Linked DNA regions of Drosophila melanogaster. The protein of the gene in region 1 purifies or fractionates together with the protein of each later gene. This does not show direct contact. Each region holds a gene or a part of one and is shown in the gene's direction. Other genes may lie near its edges. The genes, in order: CG5646 and Arglu1.

Region 1 (4,581 bases):
GCCTAAATACTAAGCGACGTGTGTGTAAGAAAGTTTTGCATCTTTATATTAGCGTGTAATTAAACAAATGAAATAGCTAAACGAAGCCCAAGCCTAAACAGCAAACTACAACTAGAGCTACTACAAACTACCCACGAGTATCATCCCTCCCTGCCTCCCCTCATTAGCCCACAATAGCGATCAGATCGAATCCTATAGCCCCCGAGCGTTAAGTCCTACTGCCTTTCAAAAGATTCCAAGAAGAACACCAAATATAATGAAACACGAAGAAATGTTAAAACTCGAACAGGCAGCACTTATCGACTCGACCTGTTTGTTATGCCCATCTAGTAACTAACACCAATCTCAGATCCTAACTAGCAGATCCGAAAAACGAATAGGACCCATCTCTAGTTAAAGTTGATGTTTGCCTAGGATGCCAATCAGTAAAACAAAAAAGAAGAACATATTCAAATAACGCAAGTGTAAAAACGAAACCAGAAATCAAGTAAGCAACAAGCATTAGATTAAGATTAATGAAAAATGTTGAAAAAGAATGCCTAATAAACGATAAAAAGAACATATTGTATAAGTCATAAGTGGTTCAATGATTATTGCCTCTTCATCATCATTTCGTTTGTTTTGTGATCAACACCTTTGTTGCACTCTGAGTTAATCTGTTTAGTCCGCATTCAAAGTAAAAAAAAAAAATGGTAACTTTAACTATAGTTTCTATTATTGTATTTATATGTATAAACAAATGGAGCATGTTAATTCGTAACTGCGGAAGCTGCTTAGAGCCAGCTGAGCGAAGAGGTTTAAGCAAATGCAAAACTCGTTAAGTACTTTTAGAGAGAAAACCCTGTACTAACTAAGATGTGTACTACAAATAAAGTCGCATTAACAACGTTGCATCCGAGATCAGAAGAAACACTCAAAAAAAAAAACAAAAAACACTTAACAAATGAAAATGCCGAACAACGGATCAGCTAGCCAAGGCAGCAACAATAAGAGCTAAATAGTTAAAGCGCTTAAACAATTTAAAAACTATGGATACTAACAATGAAATGCGAACGGATAAATATATATGTAAATCATGTATTTTCTTATGTTCTAGACTTGTAAAAAAAAAAACCTATCGTACACACGCTATATTATTACGTTTTTTAAACTTTGAGTTCTAGTTCTGTGTAGGCCGGTGTGCCAGGATTTCGATTCTTTTTTCCTTTGGTTAAAGGCACACAGCACCCACACCACCCACAATCGCACACACACTTACTCACTCACACACACACACACGACTAAACAAAATCTTATGCTGAGAGTAAATATAAAGAGTAAATTATAATTACACAAACATAAATGGGAATAAATATATATATATATAGGTATATATAAACAGCATATATATATAAAAAAGGAAAATTATATATGGAGAAGCATCGGAAAAAAGAGGTTTAGTTGATTGCTTTCGAATCCAGGCAGAAAGTATGCGAAAATAAAGTAAATTAACTAACTAATGGCGAGAAGCAGCAGAAAAAAAAATAATTAAAATTGCATGGCGCAGGCAAAAACAAATATTTAGCTGCAAGCAGAATTAACCAAAAATGATTAAAAACCAAGTAAAAGATGAAACAAAAAAAAAACACACAAAAACTGAATGAATGAGAATGATGAGCAAACGGAGAGAAAAGAAGCAAAGAGATCAATCAACAATAAAAAATTAATAAATACAAAATAATTAACACAACGTGTTTGATTTTAGATAGGATTCAAAATAGTATTTTTAAAATTAAAGGATTTATATTCCTTTGAACTTGAAGTGAAAAGCTAAGAAACTTTCTACACTTCTTTTTCCTATGCGTAGGAAAAATTCTAGAAAGTTTGGTTTGAAAATTTTAAGTTTAGAACTGAATAGTTTTGAGCTGTATACCCACAAGATATCATTATGCTTAGCAGAGTTACTTTTTCGTTAGAAAGTATCTTTTTTTGAAAAGTGAGCATTCGGTTTGCCTATTTTTTAGCAATCAGCTTCTGTTCGCTGGGAAAGCTGGCGAAATCGCAGAGCTTTGCTGCCGAGCCACAAAAGCTGTGCACTGCAGTTGGTTCGCTGCCGTCGTGAGGTGCAGTTGGAAAATCGCGAGAAAAATCAATTTTCCGAAAACTCCAAGCGTTCGCTGAAAATCCGCATCCATGAAGTGGGAGAACTACTGCGACTTTGTGGCCGGATGCTTTGGTGGTGAGTGACGGAGCGGCAGAGCTCCAGCTGGTATTCATCCCAATTTGGTCAGAACTCTGGGCCATGCATGACGCAATGCAGCAGCCGTGTGGCGATAGGCCACTTGTTGAGGGGAACTGCCTCAGTCCCGGCGGAAAACGGGCGCCATGGTCAAGTTCACGTGCGGCGCCCCTGATCCATCGGATTCTTGGCAAGCGGCTGTCGGCGGCGGCGGCCGTTCAACATGTGTTGTTTAACTTTGTGGCCACAATTTTAATTAATTTATGCTGCATTCTTGATTTTTATACTCTGATATTCAGGTGCCTGCGGGGTGCTGGTGGCCCACCCACTCGACACGATCAAAGTTTGGCAACAGGCCTCAAATTCATCCGTTGTGACAGCCATTCAACAGATCTACAGCAGAAATAATGGGGTAAGTTTGGAAAGAAGGATTGCGTCTAGTTGGAAACTTTTTTTCAAGGATACAAATTTTATGTGAAATATTTGGATAACGATGTACATGTCGATCTTCCAATCTCCTTTTTTATTCATAACTTTTCAAATATTTAAACCAGCCAAAATGGCTTTGTCCTATTCTTAATCCCGACTCCGACTGGACGCAATCCCTTAGAGCGCCTAGGTGGGTCGTGATGGGTTTAATCGATCAGCATCGCCTCAAAGGTCAACGGCTTCTACAGGGGCATGTTCTTCCCGTTCATCTCGACGGGAGCGATCAACTCGCTGCTTTTCGGCATCTATGGAAACCATCTGCGGCAGCTGAGAAAGGTGTGCCACAGTGACTACCAGCGGGAGCAGCTGGAGTACCACAACATGTTCCTGGCGGGCTCTGTGGCGGGATTCGTGCAGTCCTTCATCGCCTGTCCCATGGAGCTGATCAAGGTTCGCCTGCAGACAGCCACTTGTGGGTTCTACTTGATTTTTTAATCCCAAAATGGAGGATTAATTTGTGAAATTCCGTAGATTACAGTGACTATCTGTATGGCCAGAGAAGGACCGCCTTTGGCACGTTCAAAAGGATACTCAAGACTGATGGCATCTCGGGGCTCTATCGCGGCCTTTTGCCCATGATGTGCCGGTAAGTTAGTCCAGGTGGTAGTCCAAAAATACATGAATCTTTCAATGGTCGTTTGGTTACAGCGACGTCCTGCCCTATGGAATCTATATGCTGGCCTATCGCCAGGGCGTTGACTACATGGACAGGCGGGACTTTGTGCGCCGGCGACGCAGTCAGTCGGACGGATCCAGTGTGAACCTGCTGGTGACCACGCTGGCCGGCGCCTGGGCGGGAGTCATCTCGTGGGTGTGTGTCATTCCGTTCGACGTGGTCAAGACGCTGATGCAGGCGGATGAGAATCACAAGTACCGGGGCATCTTCCATTGCGTGCGGGTGCAGTACAGAGCCTACGGCTGGAGGAGCATCTTCCGCGGCAGCTGGATGCTGGTGGCGCGGGCGGTTCCCTTCAATGCCGCCACTTTCCTGGGCTACGAGTATGCGCTGGAGTGGTGTCAGCGGTGGAACGGCACCTACGTATGACCCAGGCAGTCTGGTGGAGATTAGGAGCCTTAGTTTGTATGCTGTGTACATTGTTGTCAACTGAGAATGAGTGTGATCGAAAAATGCAAACCTATTCTATAATTTACTTCAATGCTGTTTAACAGCACTAACAAATAGCTTTAATTGCCTCACTTTGTAAACGTTTTATCGTATCAACACGGGCTTAATATTTTCGAAATGCACCTCAATTTTGTAAGCTTTAAAATTAAAATGATGACAAATTGCGTCCATGAACAAGGTTATATTGCTGAGTATTTGAGATCTGCCTCTAAAGTTAGATCTAATTTTTTTAAAAATCTTTGGTTTGAACAATAGGAACAAGTTTTTGAATTTAGAAAACATTCAAATCGGTTTGAGTATGCGCTATCCGTGTTATCAACCATTTCTATGAATGTTGAAAACATCGAATTGGTGTGACCGCACTGCCAGAAGGCGAGTGTGTAACTCCGCAGTTTATTAGCACTGTTCTGCGAACGGTCACACCGAGTCGAACGATGAACAACAACACAACATCGCGTCGCGTTCGTTAAAAAACAGAGATAAACGCAAATCGAAGTAACAAAGTGTACATACAGCGTGCTATTTTTCTTATTTTCATCGTGCTGCACTTAATGACCCATGTCCAGTGAATATATGGGCAGACACATATGGTCAGCGCAAAAACGCAGCGAGTTGCAATGAGCAGCCGCCGAAAAAAATGGCAGGAAAAATTGTGCAAGTGAATTAATGTCGAATTGCGCACAATTTAATCTTAATTTTATTAGTGGTAGTATGTGCAGTTGTTTGTGGAGCCGCGAAAAGTTCGCAA
Region 2 (6,056 bases), on another chromosome or scaffold:
GCATTAATCAGATCCTTAGAGTAGTGACCCAAAGTGCACAGAGAGAGGCAGGTGTCAACAAGGTTGTCAGGGAAATATTCGTACTCCCCATGATCCAGCTTGCGCAGGGCGGTCAGTTCCAATTGTCTGATTTCCTCAGGAGTCAATGCACAATTGAGTTGAGCGCTGGCCCACAGGAATGTGGCCAAGTCTTTGGAGCGCAGGTCTCCAGGCTTGAGAAGAGTCATGAGTCGTTTTACGACGACAGTTAGGCATTCATTCTGATCCCAAAGCTGCTCGGCAAAGAATGCAAAGATATGGGCAAGTCCTCGGGGTTCAATATGGGTTATCTTTACAGGATCCAGACAGATATCTTGCAGGTGCTGGCACACTCGTTCATCTTTGACTTGCTGCAGACGCAATGCCTTGACAAAGGAGACCAGCAAGGCATCGCTTCCGGTGTTTATCTCCAGATTTAATATGGCATTAACGAGTCTTGCTTCGTATGCCGTTTTCGCCTCACCGGTTACCAAAGTTGAGGTTTTGTACGCCGCATTGCTGACCACGGCAAGGTCCATTTCATTTAGTTCAGGCAAATGCGTTTGTAGATGCTCTTCCAGGAGTTGCTGGAATTCCTCAGAAGATTTGGCCTGCTTCTTTTGCAATCCCATATAGAAGCACACCTGAACGAATCGCTCCTTGTTGCCGCGAAAATCCTCCCTGACCAGTCGTTGCATGGCTGCTTGGTAAAAATCCAATCGCTTTATCCAACTTGGTATGAGGAATAGAAAGGAGTAGAGCGTCTCGAGCACTGTGGCGGTATCCATCTTGTCCAGCTGTTTAGCCGCATGGTTATCCAACGTGTTAAGCGCAGTCACATACATGGGTACAGCGGCATTGGAGCGATAGCTGGATGCCTGGATGATCAGGGCGGGCAATTGGGCTGCATCCGTTTTCTCTACCGTCCGCTGAAAGTACCGGTCGTCCGTGATGGGAAAGAAGTCAGAGTACCGGACCGTCGTCTTGGGCAACACGTGATCCGAATCCCTGTAGCGCTCCAGTGCAATGTGCTTGGCGAAGCGGGTCAGCAGTGTGCCGGTCTCATCGCTGCTCCGCAATACATCTCTGGGCGTAAGGGAGGCGTAGGTTCTGATGGGACATCCCAAGTTGGTGACGCCGGCAAAGCGGCGAAGCAGGGCGTACATATCGGATGCACTTCTTCTCAATTTATGTAATGAATTTACAAAACAACGTGCAAGTCCGCAAGCATACGTTAAATCTGCATTCGCTTTTCAACACTGACTAATTTCCTCTCACACGAAGTGAACTACTAATAAGCAAAAGAGGGAAACAGCTAGAAAAGCACCACTGTTATTGGAGACTTTCGAGCACTGTTCAAACACCTGTTTCGGTTAATTGATAGCAACAACATGGAAAAGGCAGCTGGTTTTGTTATTTTTCGCCGCCTTTGTGGGGAAATACAATACCTATTGCTGAAGGCTTCCTACGGCTCCTTCCACTGGAGTTCTCCCAAGGGACATGTGGACCCAGGCGAGGATGATTTTACCACTGCCCTGCGAGAAACGAAAGAGGAAGCCGGGAAAGTGCACAACGATATATCTTTTAAAACATGCTTAATTTCAAAAATGCTCTCATAGGTACGACGAGAAGGATCTGATCATATACAAGGACACTCCGCTGACCCTGAATTATCAGGTGCAAGACAAGCCGAAGATTGTTATTTACTGGCTAGCGGAGCTGCGGAATCCCTGCCAGGAGCCCATTCTCTCCGAGGAGCACACCGACCTCAAGTGGCTGCCCAAGGAGGAGGCCAAGCAGTGCGTCGGCTTTAAGGATAACCAAGTCATGATCGACAAGTTCCACCAAATGATTTTAGATCAAAACAAACCAATGTGAACTGAAAACAATTGCCGGTCTAATGTTGGGCAACACAGAAATTAAAATAAAAAAAGCACAGAAAATACCGTATCAAAAAAAATACCAGAATTATGTCAGGCCAGTATGCCAACGTTGTGCACACTGTTTTAAGGCATCTGTGAAAATTGCTCGAGAAATTAAATTCGCTCTCATTGATTTGTTGTGGCAGCCAAGTTAAGCCCTTCGACTAGCTCGAAATCTTATACAATCACACAATCCAGCACCATGGGCTCCCGTTCACGTACACCCAGTCCGTCGGGCAAGCGACGCCACCATAAGAGCAAGCACAAAAAACGCAGTAAGTCCCACCACGACCACGAGCGGCCCAGCACAAGAACGGATAGAGACAAGTCCTCGGAGGTGAACAACCATGGACGACATCGCGAACGGGACAGGGACCGCGAGCGGGATAGACACCGCAGCGACCGACACACTGAGCGCGACTACCGTCACTCCCCCTCGATCCTGAAATCCCGAAAACGCTCCAGCTCGTCGAGCAGCGACAGTCAGTACTCCGAGCAGGAGTCGCAACGTAGCAAACAGAAGCGCAGCCGCTTTAAGAAGCTGGATGAGGTAAGTGGATAGTGTCCATAGTCTGTCATCTTGAGCACTCCATGGGTACGCATTCCATACACGCATTTTTCCGGGATGGACACTCATGCTGCGCTTATGATACAACTGTTTCGATGAAAGCAACTAAACTATGATCTACCATTACAGCAAAACCAGATGCAGGTCGAACGCCTGGCCGAGATGGAGCGGCAGCGTCGGGCGAAGGAGCTCGAGCAAAAGACAATCGAAGAGGAAGCCGCCAAGCGCATAGAGATGCTGGTAAAAAAGCGCGTCGAGGAGGAGCTAGAAAAGCGTCGCGACGAAATCGAACAGGAGGTCAATCGACGCGTTGAGACCGCCAAGGCTGAGATGGAGCGCGAAATGATGCTGGAGCTGGAGCGGCGGCGAGAGCAGATACGCGAAGAAGAACGCCGGCGCGAGGTAGGTGCTCGTATTCAGATTCCGCTGGACGACTGCTGCTATCACTGTCAGAAACACGTACACAATGCCACATTTACCGTACACTTGAATAAATCCAAAACAGCAGTTCAAACAGTCGTCTCCACCACGTCACGCGAAATCGATCCGGCGGCGCTCTCAGTCGCGGCTCACTGGCTGTTCATCCATCAACCCATGTCCCATCAGCAGCCTCCCCGTACTAGATTGCTTGCATAACCCTGGGCCAAGGGCGCCCACTAACCGGGTACATCACTAACCAGTCGCAACTTTTCAGAGCCCTCCCCACATGATGCAGCAAGCTAAATGCTGTGAGCCGAGATGAGAACGCCACGGCTCGTTTTGCCCCTTTTTTTCTTCTTGCCAATAATTTTGTAACTTTTTATTTTTCCTACCAAAAAAGCCAAAATGACGACATTGCCAAGTGTCGCATGTGTCAAAGTTTTGATGCCCATTATTGCAGACTTATTGCATACTCTTAGCTTCATCTTTTGTTCGTTCCTACCCACATACTGTATCATTTTAATTTTTTTGGTATTGGTTCTCGTAACTCGTTGTTGTTGTTATTGCGCGCAAATTCCGCTTCAGTAGGCCCGTGCAACGAACGTGCTGCTCTTGTCCCGTATGCAAGTGGGTGTGTGTGGCTGTTTTGTGATCCTTACCCGCAAAACACTCGCGTGCACTCCACGTTGTGCCGCCATGCCGGAAGTTGAGCAAGCCTGCTGCCGAGCGATTGGTCCACGGACGCATTTCCTCCACACCAAACAATAAATATCAAAAGAATCAAAGAAATACCAAAGCCCAGCGAAGTGGTATGGTGTCCCTAAGTTAGTCCGGGTAGTTAGGCACTCTAGTTGTGGGCGGGCCGACTGAGTTTAGTCCCAACAGTACGCTGCATGCAAATCAAATCACTGCCACTTTTGATAACGGGTGAGTTTCCTACGCCAGCGATGTGTGATGTTGCCCAGCAGCCGTAAGGATAACAGGCGAGAAAGGACGGCGCACAGACCCAAAGACTCAAAGACTCCCCCCAGGGTTTAGCTCTATAGAACTCTGTCTGTAAGAATTTTTGAAACCGGATACGCATTGGATTGCCACTTATTTGTGTTTAAGCTTTTTGTTTTTGCGAGCAAATTACATATGTACGTCTGGAATAGCGAAAAACTCCACAAAAATAATCCCAAATCGAAAATCTGCAAAAAAAAAAAAAAAGAAAACCATAAATTAACACAAATTTAGCCTATTTACTGGAATAATGACCTATTTAAATAGTAAGTAGCAACAATAAAAAAAAAAAAAAACCAAATGAAGACCAACCATTTAGCAAATACTAGTACATTTGTTTATGTTGTGTGCTCCTTTATTGTAATAAACTAAAAGAACAACCTACTTTAAACATTCTTATTAGACACTACTAAATGTTTTACTTTCTACCGAAAATATTCTTTGTAACTTATTGTTAAACATAAAACTAGATTTTAACTGCCTTTGCAGCTCATCAAGCAAAAAACTGCAACCACAAACGTGCGTCGAATTCGTCGCACAGTTTGCATCGCTGATGTCAAGAGACTGTTTATTTCTATAATTAGCATTAAGCTTCTCGCTAAAGGATCGATTTTTGTTATTAATCGTCTTCTTGTTTGGGTTTTATAGGAGGATGAAAAACAAAAACGCGAAGAGCTCGAAGAAATTTTGGCCGAAAACAATCGCAAAATCGAAGAGGCGCAAAGAAAACTGGTAAGAATTCATAGCAAACAAACCATATTATTATGATCATAATTGATTTCTTTTTTCTTTAGGCCGAAGAACGGTTAGCAATAATCGAGGAGCAGCGCCTTATGGACGAGGAGCGGCAACGCATGCGCAAGGAGCAGGAGAAGCGCGTCAAGGAAGAGCAGAAGGTCATATTAGGCAAAAACAATTCCAGGCCCAAGCTATCGTTCTCCCTGAAACCGGGCGCATTATGAGGAGCGTAGGCATCAGTCTGGTGACCGTCGCACCTTTTCTTGTTAACAGCTTTTGCTTTTTTTTTTACCTCAGTGGCTATTTGCCTGCGACACAGACCATGCACTCGTTTTCATTGTTGTAATTGTGTTCTATATTATTTTTATTATTTTAAGGACGAGCTGTGGTGCTGAGAGCAGGCAAAGCACAGCCAATAGATTCAACGTTTTCAAAATTGCCAATTACTGAACACATACGGCTCTATATAGTACAATACGCTAGCGATTTACTTAACCTTTTCTACATAAAGAATTCATATGTGAGACAAATGATTATGTGTAGTGCGTCGTATTGTTGTCACAGCTGAACGATTAACAAAAAAGAAGAAAAAAAAAAAAAGAAAACCAAAAAGATGTCAGTGAAATACATATGTAATCTATTTGCAATTTTTTGATATTTCAAGAAAACATAGAAATCAGCTGAAATCGATAATAAAAAACTTTAGAAATGCCAAAAGTTGAATATTATTATATATAATCTGTATAAGCTTAAGTGTTTCAGATTTGCAATGCAAGAGCTACAAGTGCATTAGCGAGCGAATTAAGCACCATTCGCTTAGTAAATTTGACAGTTTTGCCAAAACATACGTGCGCTTTTCAGCTCCTCCATCCTCCACCGAATCCCCCGATCCCCTTTGGTATCGGACACGATCTAAGCCAGTGTACATGTCGCTAAGTAGACACAACTTATTATTTATAGAGACTACTTCAATTTATATGTCTCTTGTTGCTGATTGGGTTGGGCGACGCTGGACAGCGGGCGACAGCCGGCACGCCCGCGCGTAGCATGGAACTGGAGGCTGCGATCAGGTGGAGAGGCGGCGGTGTCCGATCTGTCCAAGTGCGTGCGTGCGCAGGAGGCGGGGATGCCGAATTGGTAGGCGACTTCACTCAGAGTCGTAATGTGGTTCTAAGCGAATGTGGCGCAAGATATGCCTGTTATGCATACGCACCAAGGTACTCCGCTCCAACGAAACTCCACCTGACCCCCACCTCGACTTGACCAGCTTATTACTTCATATCGAATTTGGCAACGTGTTCGCTAGCGAGCCTTTGTAGCGTGAAAGGCGAAGGCAACGGCACCGCCACCTGACCAGCCCAGACCCACATCCAGATCGAGATTTAGAC

Evidence for each region.
Region 2: the proteins of CG5646 (region 1) and Arglu1 purify together in Drosophila melanogaster (affinity purification with mass spectrometry, with the first as the bait; one large-scale study listed by BioGRID). This does not show direct contact.

Annotation. Positions count from the first base shown.
Region 1 is NT_033777.3:27,558,812-27,563,392, reverse strand, and holds CG5646 (uncharacterized protein), read left to right. Parts: upstream 1-2,073; 5' UTR 2,074-2,172; coding exon 2,173-2,218; intron 2,219-2,422; exon of another isoform or gene 2,423-2,465; intron 2,466-2,517; coding exon 2,518-2,630; intron 2,631-2,878; coding exon 2,879-3,119; intron 3,120-3,178; coding exon 3,179-3,293; intron 3,294-3,355; coding exon 3,356-3,752; 3' UTR 3,753-4,014; downstream 4,015-4,581.
Region 2 is NT_033779.5:9,934,092-9,940,147, reverse strand, and holds Arglu1 (arginine and glutamate rich 1), read left to right. Parts: upstream 1-2,013; 5' UTR 2,014-2,142; coding exon 2,143-2,490; exon of another isoform or gene 2,491-2,637; coding exon 2,638-2,910; coding exon of another isoform or gene 2,911-3,144; exon of another isoform or gene 3,145-4,578; coding exon 4,579-4,662; intron 4,663-4,724; coding exon 4,725-4,892; 3' UTR 4,893-5,381; downstream 5,382-6,056. Other genes in the region: CG4619 (uncharacterized protein), read right to left, coding at 1-1,184. UniProt on the Drosophila melanogaster protein: Post-transcriptional regulator of gene expression; modulates splicing and premature cleavage at cryptic polyadenylation sites of its own pre-mRNA through binding and regulation of the U1-snRNP complex.